2 linked regions of the Neodiprion lecontei genome follow. The protein of the gene in region 2 purifies or fractionates together with the protein of the main gene of each other region. This does not show direct contact. Links are inferred from orthologs where the notes say so. Each region holds a gene or a part of one and is shown on either strand. Other genes may lie near its edges.

Region 1 (3,758 bases), on a different chromosome or scaffold from region 2:
TGTCAGCCTTAACGGTGGACTGAATCTGACCATGGATTCTATAGGGTTTGTAGCATAGCCTCTAACGCCAATCAATGATTCAACAGCGATAATTTTTCCATGAAACGTAGTTTCTAAATCCTTTGAAAATACATTTATAAAACATGAAGCATAAAATAAAAATAGAAATCCACAGAGTAGGTTTATATAAATAATTCTGTTAACTTACTGTTATCGTCTCGTCAAGCTTTGCAACTTTGATATTGCCGTTCAGAAGAGTCGCTGTTAGGCCCAAGACTCTTGGTTGCTGGTCCTTTGGGCAATCCTTAAAACGCTGCATTATCAAACGCATCGGATGGTCGTTCACAGCTCGGTGACACTCATCAAAAATCATGAGATTTACTTGGCTCAATGATATATAGCCATGATTCAATATATCAAGGAATATTTGGGAAGTCATAACTAGGACCTGGAAATCGGTTAGTAGCAGGTATATTTCAACATCAATATTGATATAATAATTTGAGATAACGACATATTAGTATGTACACAAAATCATCTTGAATTTAAACGATTGCAGGGTCCTTTGCATTAAGGAAATTGAGATAAAAACCACCTTGGAATGACTAACTGTGATAACTCTCAAAACTATTGCAGACATCAAAATAACGATTAAATGTTCTTTAAACAGATAATTTCTTAAAGAAAAAAAAAGTTTGAGCTTCATTGTACATATATTTGAACTTTGTTGTTGTCCATGTGTTGCAAATAATCGCGAAAATGAAAGAAAATACCTGAATGCTGGTTAGAAATTGAATTTTCTAATTATTGCGGTATTCATTGAAAATGATGACAAAAGTTTTAGTTTGCCATCAATTGATGGCAATTGAAATACTTTATCTACACTACTGGTATTACAAAGTTTCAGGAAATATAGATAATATTTATATTGAGTAATACCTGATTATCCTCCAATTCTTGTAACCATTTATCTCTGCTCCAATAATCAACCTGCATTTCGCCTGTGTAACTGCTACAATTTAAATGAGTATGTCTTTGTAAGTATCTTAATTGCTGATCGGCCAGAGCAACAGTATTCACTGCAAAAATTGTTCTTTTACCCCCGACACTGTAAGGCCTAAGAAAAAAGCAAACAATCGTTGAATTATTAGTAAGCTTCAGCCCTAGAAAATGAATTAATAAGTAAATCAATAAGTGACAGAAAAAAAATACACAAGATATAAGTGAATTACATTAGAAAATATTAATGGATTGATTTCATCACCAAACGCTCATGCTAAACTCTGTGAATAATCATAGATTTGTTCAAAAAGCAGGATCAGTTGTTTATAAAGTTAGACCGGTGACTTGTAAACTAATATATGTACAATAATCCATTGACAAGTAGAATTGAAACTATGAAAGTACATGTCATAATGTGACTTATATTTAAGAATGAGTTGAAACTTGTATTATTAAAAATGAGTTCTGACCAGGACTAACTAGTCTAGAATAAGAACTGGATGGCGGAGGAGGAGTTATAAAATACAATGAATAAATGATTACTTGATCACATCGCCGCTCAATTTTTTTATGATCATGACAGCAATGTATGTCTTTCCTGCCCCTGTTGGCAAGTATATGATACTGTTATACTGGACGGCTCTCTCATACAGATCAATCTGATATGGCCTGGCTGAAAATTCTTCGATTGGCTGTACCATGATGCTAAGGAAACAGAAATATTTTAGATTTTAGATTAATTATAATTCAATGTTGTTACGAGTCTAAGACGTAAATTAATGGGTGGCATTGGTAAAAGATTAATTAGCAAAATCTGCTGGAAACATCAGACTTTTTATTTTTCATGTTACTTATCTTCGGAAGTAGCGACTACAGTTATAAACCGGTAGTTTAGTTATTGATTATGATTTTGCTAATACAAAACTTTAAATTATTATTAAAACCTCAGTTTACCTCTTTTCTGTTGAGACAAACAACCAAAAAGCTATGAAGATTTGAAAACAAATGTAGTCGAATCGACGTTACAGGTTAGGTTAGATTTTCGTGTTACAAAACAACTAGTAAAACCATACAGAAATACAAAAACATATTGATCACTTCAATGAGAGGAAATTTTCAAGTACACGGTATATTACTGAGAACAGTTGTACAATTCAATTGGTGGAAAGCGTTTCCTCACGATTTGGGAAGTGGTACCGGAGAATAAAACACGGGGACTCCCAGACACTGCTTCTTTGATGCACTGACAATTCGCCGGATCTCTGCTGGATCCCTGAATCGCGCAGTGCTTCGATGCTTCAAATCTTTGACGAAAAATTTCTAAGGCCGGCTAACTATGTTTGACGTATCTCGCAGGGCGCTGAAAGCGTGGAGGTAATGGCAGTGCCCTACACTTAGGCTGAATTTTCACGGCCAGCGCAATGATGCTGTGCACGGTCTGGCTGTCAAGGTCCCCAGATTAGGAAGGTCACGACCAGTGGTCACGACACGCGTGGACAAAAAAATTAGTGAGAATGCGCCAAAAGTTTCGTATGACAATCGATGCTTTCCATTTAGAGCACAATATGACACAGTGTAAACATTTCTGGTCTATTTCTTTGCCCGGATTGGCCGCTTACAATAGAAATTTGTCACACTGTGCTCTAAATGGAAAGCACCCGGTGTGGTTCTAATTCCTGACCTGTCACAATGATTAACCTCAAAATATATACGTGGTTCAATTTATTTCGTGCACGTCAGGATACTAAAGGCGCAACTCGGTAATGCTTAACCTTAAAAAATTGAGCAAGATCGGTCAAACCTAGTTAATGCGGTAATGTAAGTTTGATATTTTTTGGGCGAACGCGCATAGAACATTTTTGCCCATGTTATAGTCAGAAAAACTGGAACACGCGTGTCTTGACCTTCCTAATCTAGGGACCTTGCATGCTGTGACAGCCAGTAGCGCCACGCTACAACAGCAAAAAACGAACCGTGAAGGAAGTAAAATCTCCCCAGATTTCCCCCTAGATGTAATCAGAATTGGGCAGCAGAAATTACTTTCGTCATTTCATTACCCGTAAATTACAATGACTGTGAATAACTGTAATATTTAGTAACTAATTACAATTGCGGGAAATAATTATAAATTTTGATTTACCAATTACAGTTAGTATAAACAATTGTAATTTTATGATTATCAACGACAATTACTCGAAATAATTGTAATTTTTTTGTTGTCAATTAAAATTACTTGAAAAAATTGTAATTTTTCTGCTACTAATTACAATTACTTGGAACAATTGTAATTTTTCTGTTATCCATTACAATTAATGGAAATGATTATGTTTTTTTTTCAAATTTCAATTGTTTTTCATAATTTATTTAAACAAATTACCTTTGGAAACGTAATGTCGAATTCTCAACATAATTTCAAATTCCGAAAACATCGGGAACTTCATGGAGCTTACATATTCACATTGACTGGTCAAGCAAATTATTTAAACAAATTGATTTTTCAAAGTAATGTGAAATCCTTGATCAGCTACCCAAAAAACTTTGGTAACCATAGCCCATTCACATATTGACTGTAAAAGACTCGTTCCGATCACACCATTTGAATACTCCAAAAACGGAGTAAATTTATTTGTCTATTTGTTATTATTTCACAGGAATAACGTTAGAGAAAAAAATTCAATTGGACCACATCGTGTAGTTTACAATTACTCAAAAGAATTTTAATAATGTCTGATTTAATTACAATCACTGAGGATAAT
Region 2 (3,758 bases):
CCCTTCGTCTTGTTTTTCAATATCATTTTTAGCCGCATCAGGAATGCCTTCAGTATCACCACCATCACCGTGGTCGTCGTCGAAATATTCATCGTGATCTTCCTTACGTTTTTTCCATTTGCCCTTGTCTATATGATAAATAAATTGAGAACCGTATGAGTATGAGAAATTAAAAAATTCGAAGTGTATCTCTAAACGAACGGTGAAAAAGTGTTCAAGGGTTATGTACCATTATCTTTTTTGAATCGCTTTGGCGGGCCCATGATAGCCCCGCTTAAAAATTAGTCACAGGCAAAATGATTTGTACACTGATTCAACGCCGTCACACCTTGACACTGAAAAATCAGTCGATGTAAATCCCGGTAAATAAACTTATAACCACTACACAACTCTCACATTGCGGACTGGCAACGGTCAGCACTGTATCTGGTTTGACATAACCTCACAGCCCTCACAGGCAACCTGAAGTTTGGCTGAAGTATGACTTGAAGTGCGTTTCATGTTAAGTTAGGTCAGCTATCTCGATCAGAGCTGTCAGTTTTCTGAGCAAAACCGAGAAAAAAAACGATCTGCGCAGCATGTTGTAACCGTGGTTGTAACTTGAAAAAGCGAATTGCAATAGTCGTAATATGCATTATTATAAGGGACGAGCGATTGAATGATCACTAAACACGTTACAATTGACAACTAATGAAACTTGATCTTACTAAGAAAGTAAAATTAAAAGCCAGATAATTATAATTACATATTTATACTTCGGTTTAAAATTCTCTCCGATACGCGATCAATGAATGATGAGAACCAGGTGTTACAGCACGATTATCGAAAGTGTAAGTCAAAATTCGGTGTTATATTCGCCAAGAGAACAGGATTGTTGTTCAAGTCGGTTTTAAAGTATACCTCGAATATCAAAATATTTACTAATTGAAAGGAAAAAATCGCGCGTTATTTGTTGATCGTACATGGACTGCCGTAATCCTGTTGCGTCCGTGTGGACATGCATTAAAGTCGGCCTGTTTACACCACGGACTATCCACGTGGTCGAGTTTTTGCTGAAACGATCTAGATACACTGTTTATTCGGCTCTCCTGTAATCAATCAACGGTTTTGGTAACCAAAACTTGGCACCCAGGCAAGTTTAAGGCTTGCGCATCGAGTACGGCGCATAGATTGCGCTCATCGCTAAGAACGCACGAATTACGTTATTCGCGCGAATAATTTTACGCATGATTATTGGCAACCGGCAATGACAGAAGAAAATAAAATACCGTAGTTCACCTGTTTTAGAATTGAATGACATCCGCAGCTTGCTTCAGTGCGAATATCGTGACAGTAACAATCTTATAATCGTAGAACACAATCATACGGTGCCTGGGCGAAGCGCGCATGCCGGCGGCGCAAAAGTTCACAGCGCAGGTCTGATGTAGCAGAGAGCATATTGCTGCAGAGCCGCAAACAAGGAAGGATTCTCCGGTAGTCCATAAACCATTTTTCTGTCGTCAAACGGATCAAGCTTTTTGTGAGACTTGGATCGGTCACAAAAAGCGGGATTCGCTTTTCGCATAGGAATTGGCGAGCCGCAGAAGTCAGGATATCTGTACTTTGCTGGGTGGTTAATTGTGAGTATAAGCCTCATAACACCGTCGAACCTCTTCGCGATCCACGCATATCTACGAGTGGCAGCCTCGAGCTAGCTTCGCTCGATGTCACGATGCGTGTCTGTGGGCGTTAGATCTTTATTTCATTCCTTCTACAACTTCTACTACCCTCAAGATCTAACCTTTCTTCATCCATCCATCCTCCAATCGTCCCTCATCGTCGCACCGGTCTGTCCTTACTTACCAATTTAAGATTCAATCGATGAAAATTTTATAACAAACATGGCCGTCCGCCGGTGTCTTATTACCTGCTTACACCTCTGAATAACAAAGGTCTACGGACGTATTTTTGTCCCGCGTTTCATTCGGATCAAGGACCGGCAAGTGCCTGATGGGCTCAACGCGTCATCGTAGAACCCAGCGTACTTTCTGTCCTTCACCTCACTTACCGCGTGTTTGTTTCGGACGAACCAGTCTAGTTATGTGACGACGATCTCCTATTTTCGCAATACAACAAGCGTGCTCTTCGACGACTTGTCACTTCACAAAAATACAGCATGATATCTACGGCTATTCGCCGCAGGATTTTTCATCCACAATTTGTGTCAAATTTACAAAAGTATTTGTGGAACTCCTTTCGGGACGTGTAAATTTTTTACAACGAAAGTGTCGAAGGATTGATCTTAAGGTTGATAAGTATTCAGATACGGCAGGTTTTAGAGTTCGGTAAACCGCAATATTTGAACCGGTATGTGGAGTGATTATTTCTAAACTCTAATCTTATCGGTAAGTCGGATGCTAAAGGATATCATTGAAGCATGTGACTTACCCCTGAAATTACTTTCAGGATTAGCTGTATGGTTAGGCATTAAATAACCATGTCGATTCTGATATTTTAATATGACAAATCTGGGTCAGAATGCAAAAGTAGATGTAGAGTTGTTCATTTGAGAGTCTGTTTGTAGCTCATTTTCAAAAATAGAAAATCCACTTCCGTCAGTATCTAAAAAATATGCATCGAATAAGTGAACGGTAACAATTCAATCTCACAGAAATATTGATTACTCTCTAAAAATTTTTGTACAAGCTTCAAATTTTTAAGGTGATATTTAATTTTCCTCAGTCGAGCAATAAGCTGCTCACTTGATTTCACAGAAATAGATATGCACATATGTCTAAATATTAGCTCAGTTGTTGCGCAAAATATTTTCCTTCTCAACAAAACGATAATTATTATTTTTTGTTTTACAGAATAATAACATGGACGAGATGCGTCATTCTCAACAAGTCGTGCCCAATATCATGAGTGGAATTGGGGTTCAAACGATTCATCCTAACAGCGTACATCGTCATGGCAGGAATCGTGTGACGATGCACACTCTTATGTCCGAGGCATTACCGTTGGACGAGGCAGCACGTTTAGAAATGAAGGCAATGCCTGCTAAAACTCCTGTTTCCGTTTTGCAAGAGCTTCTGTCTCGCAGAGGCACTACCCCAAAATATGAACTTGTACAAATAGAGGGTGCCATACATGAACCTACCTTCCGTTATCGTGTCACTGTCTCTGATGTTGTTGGTAAGCATGTCCTATAAATTTTTTCACCTAAGAGTTTGTGTAAATGTTGAAGTAAATAGTTGGCCGTATTAAATGTTAAGTAATTAATTGAGAGTTCAATTCTTTTGTGTAAAACAAGGGTCTGACAAATGGTTTTCTTTTACCCAGTTCGTTTGTTGATGGAATCCAGTAAATAAGGATAATTGATGAAAATTAATTTTGTAAGCATGATAGCGTAGGTTCTACACTTTTATCAAAATATTTTTAACTGTCACTACAAATAATTGTCTAAGTTCTTCACTAATTGTTCGCATTCTTGTAATACAACAAGGCTGAAATATGATTTTCAATTACCTCATACTAGTGTCAACCAATATGAATGAGTGAGAGTGTTATTTTGATGTAATAAATGATTGAACATCAATTTCCTAAGCATGGTAGCTTATATTGAAATATCTGTTCACCCTTTCAATTTCAATGGAAATTATAAGTAGCACTGATTTTTTTCAATCATATAATATTCTATTCCAATCCAGTCCATTACTAAATCATTCAACATTGAAATTGATACTTATTTGATGTTTGTCATACTCCTAAATATTTTC

What was found. Proteins that work in one complex are often made in the same cells at the same time.
Region 1: the proteins of RISC-loading complex subunit tarbp2 (region 2) and endoribonuclease Dicer purify together in Drosophila melanogaster (affinity purification with western blotting; 9 studies listed by BioGRID, with this or other methods). This does not show direct contact. The link is inferred for Neodiprion lecontei from reciprocal best matches to the Drosophila melanogaster genes loqs and Dcr-2.

The regions. Positions count from the first base shown.
Region 1 is NC_060266.1:18,273,851-18,277,608, forward strand, and holds the start of endoribonuclease Dicer, read right to left. Parts: upstream 2,808-3,758; 5' UTR 2,200-2,807; exon of another isoform or gene 2,183-2,199; intron 2,177-2,182; exon of another isoform or gene 1,957-2,176; intron 1,708-1,956; 5' UTR 1,704-1,707; coding exon 1,546-1,703; intron 1,118-1,545; coding exon 940-1,117; intron 449-939; coding exon 209-448; intron 121-208; coding exon 1-120.
Region 2 is NC_060261.1:39,599,263-39,603,020, reverse strand, and holds the start of RISC-loading complex subunit tarbp2, read left to right. Parts: upstream 1-1,389; 5' UTR 1,390-1,619; intron 1,620-2,849; 5' UTR 2,850-2,858; coding exon 2,859-3,174; intron 3,175-3,758. Other genes in the region: general transcription and DNA repair factor IIH helicase subunit XPB, read right to left, coding at 1-128, 230-263.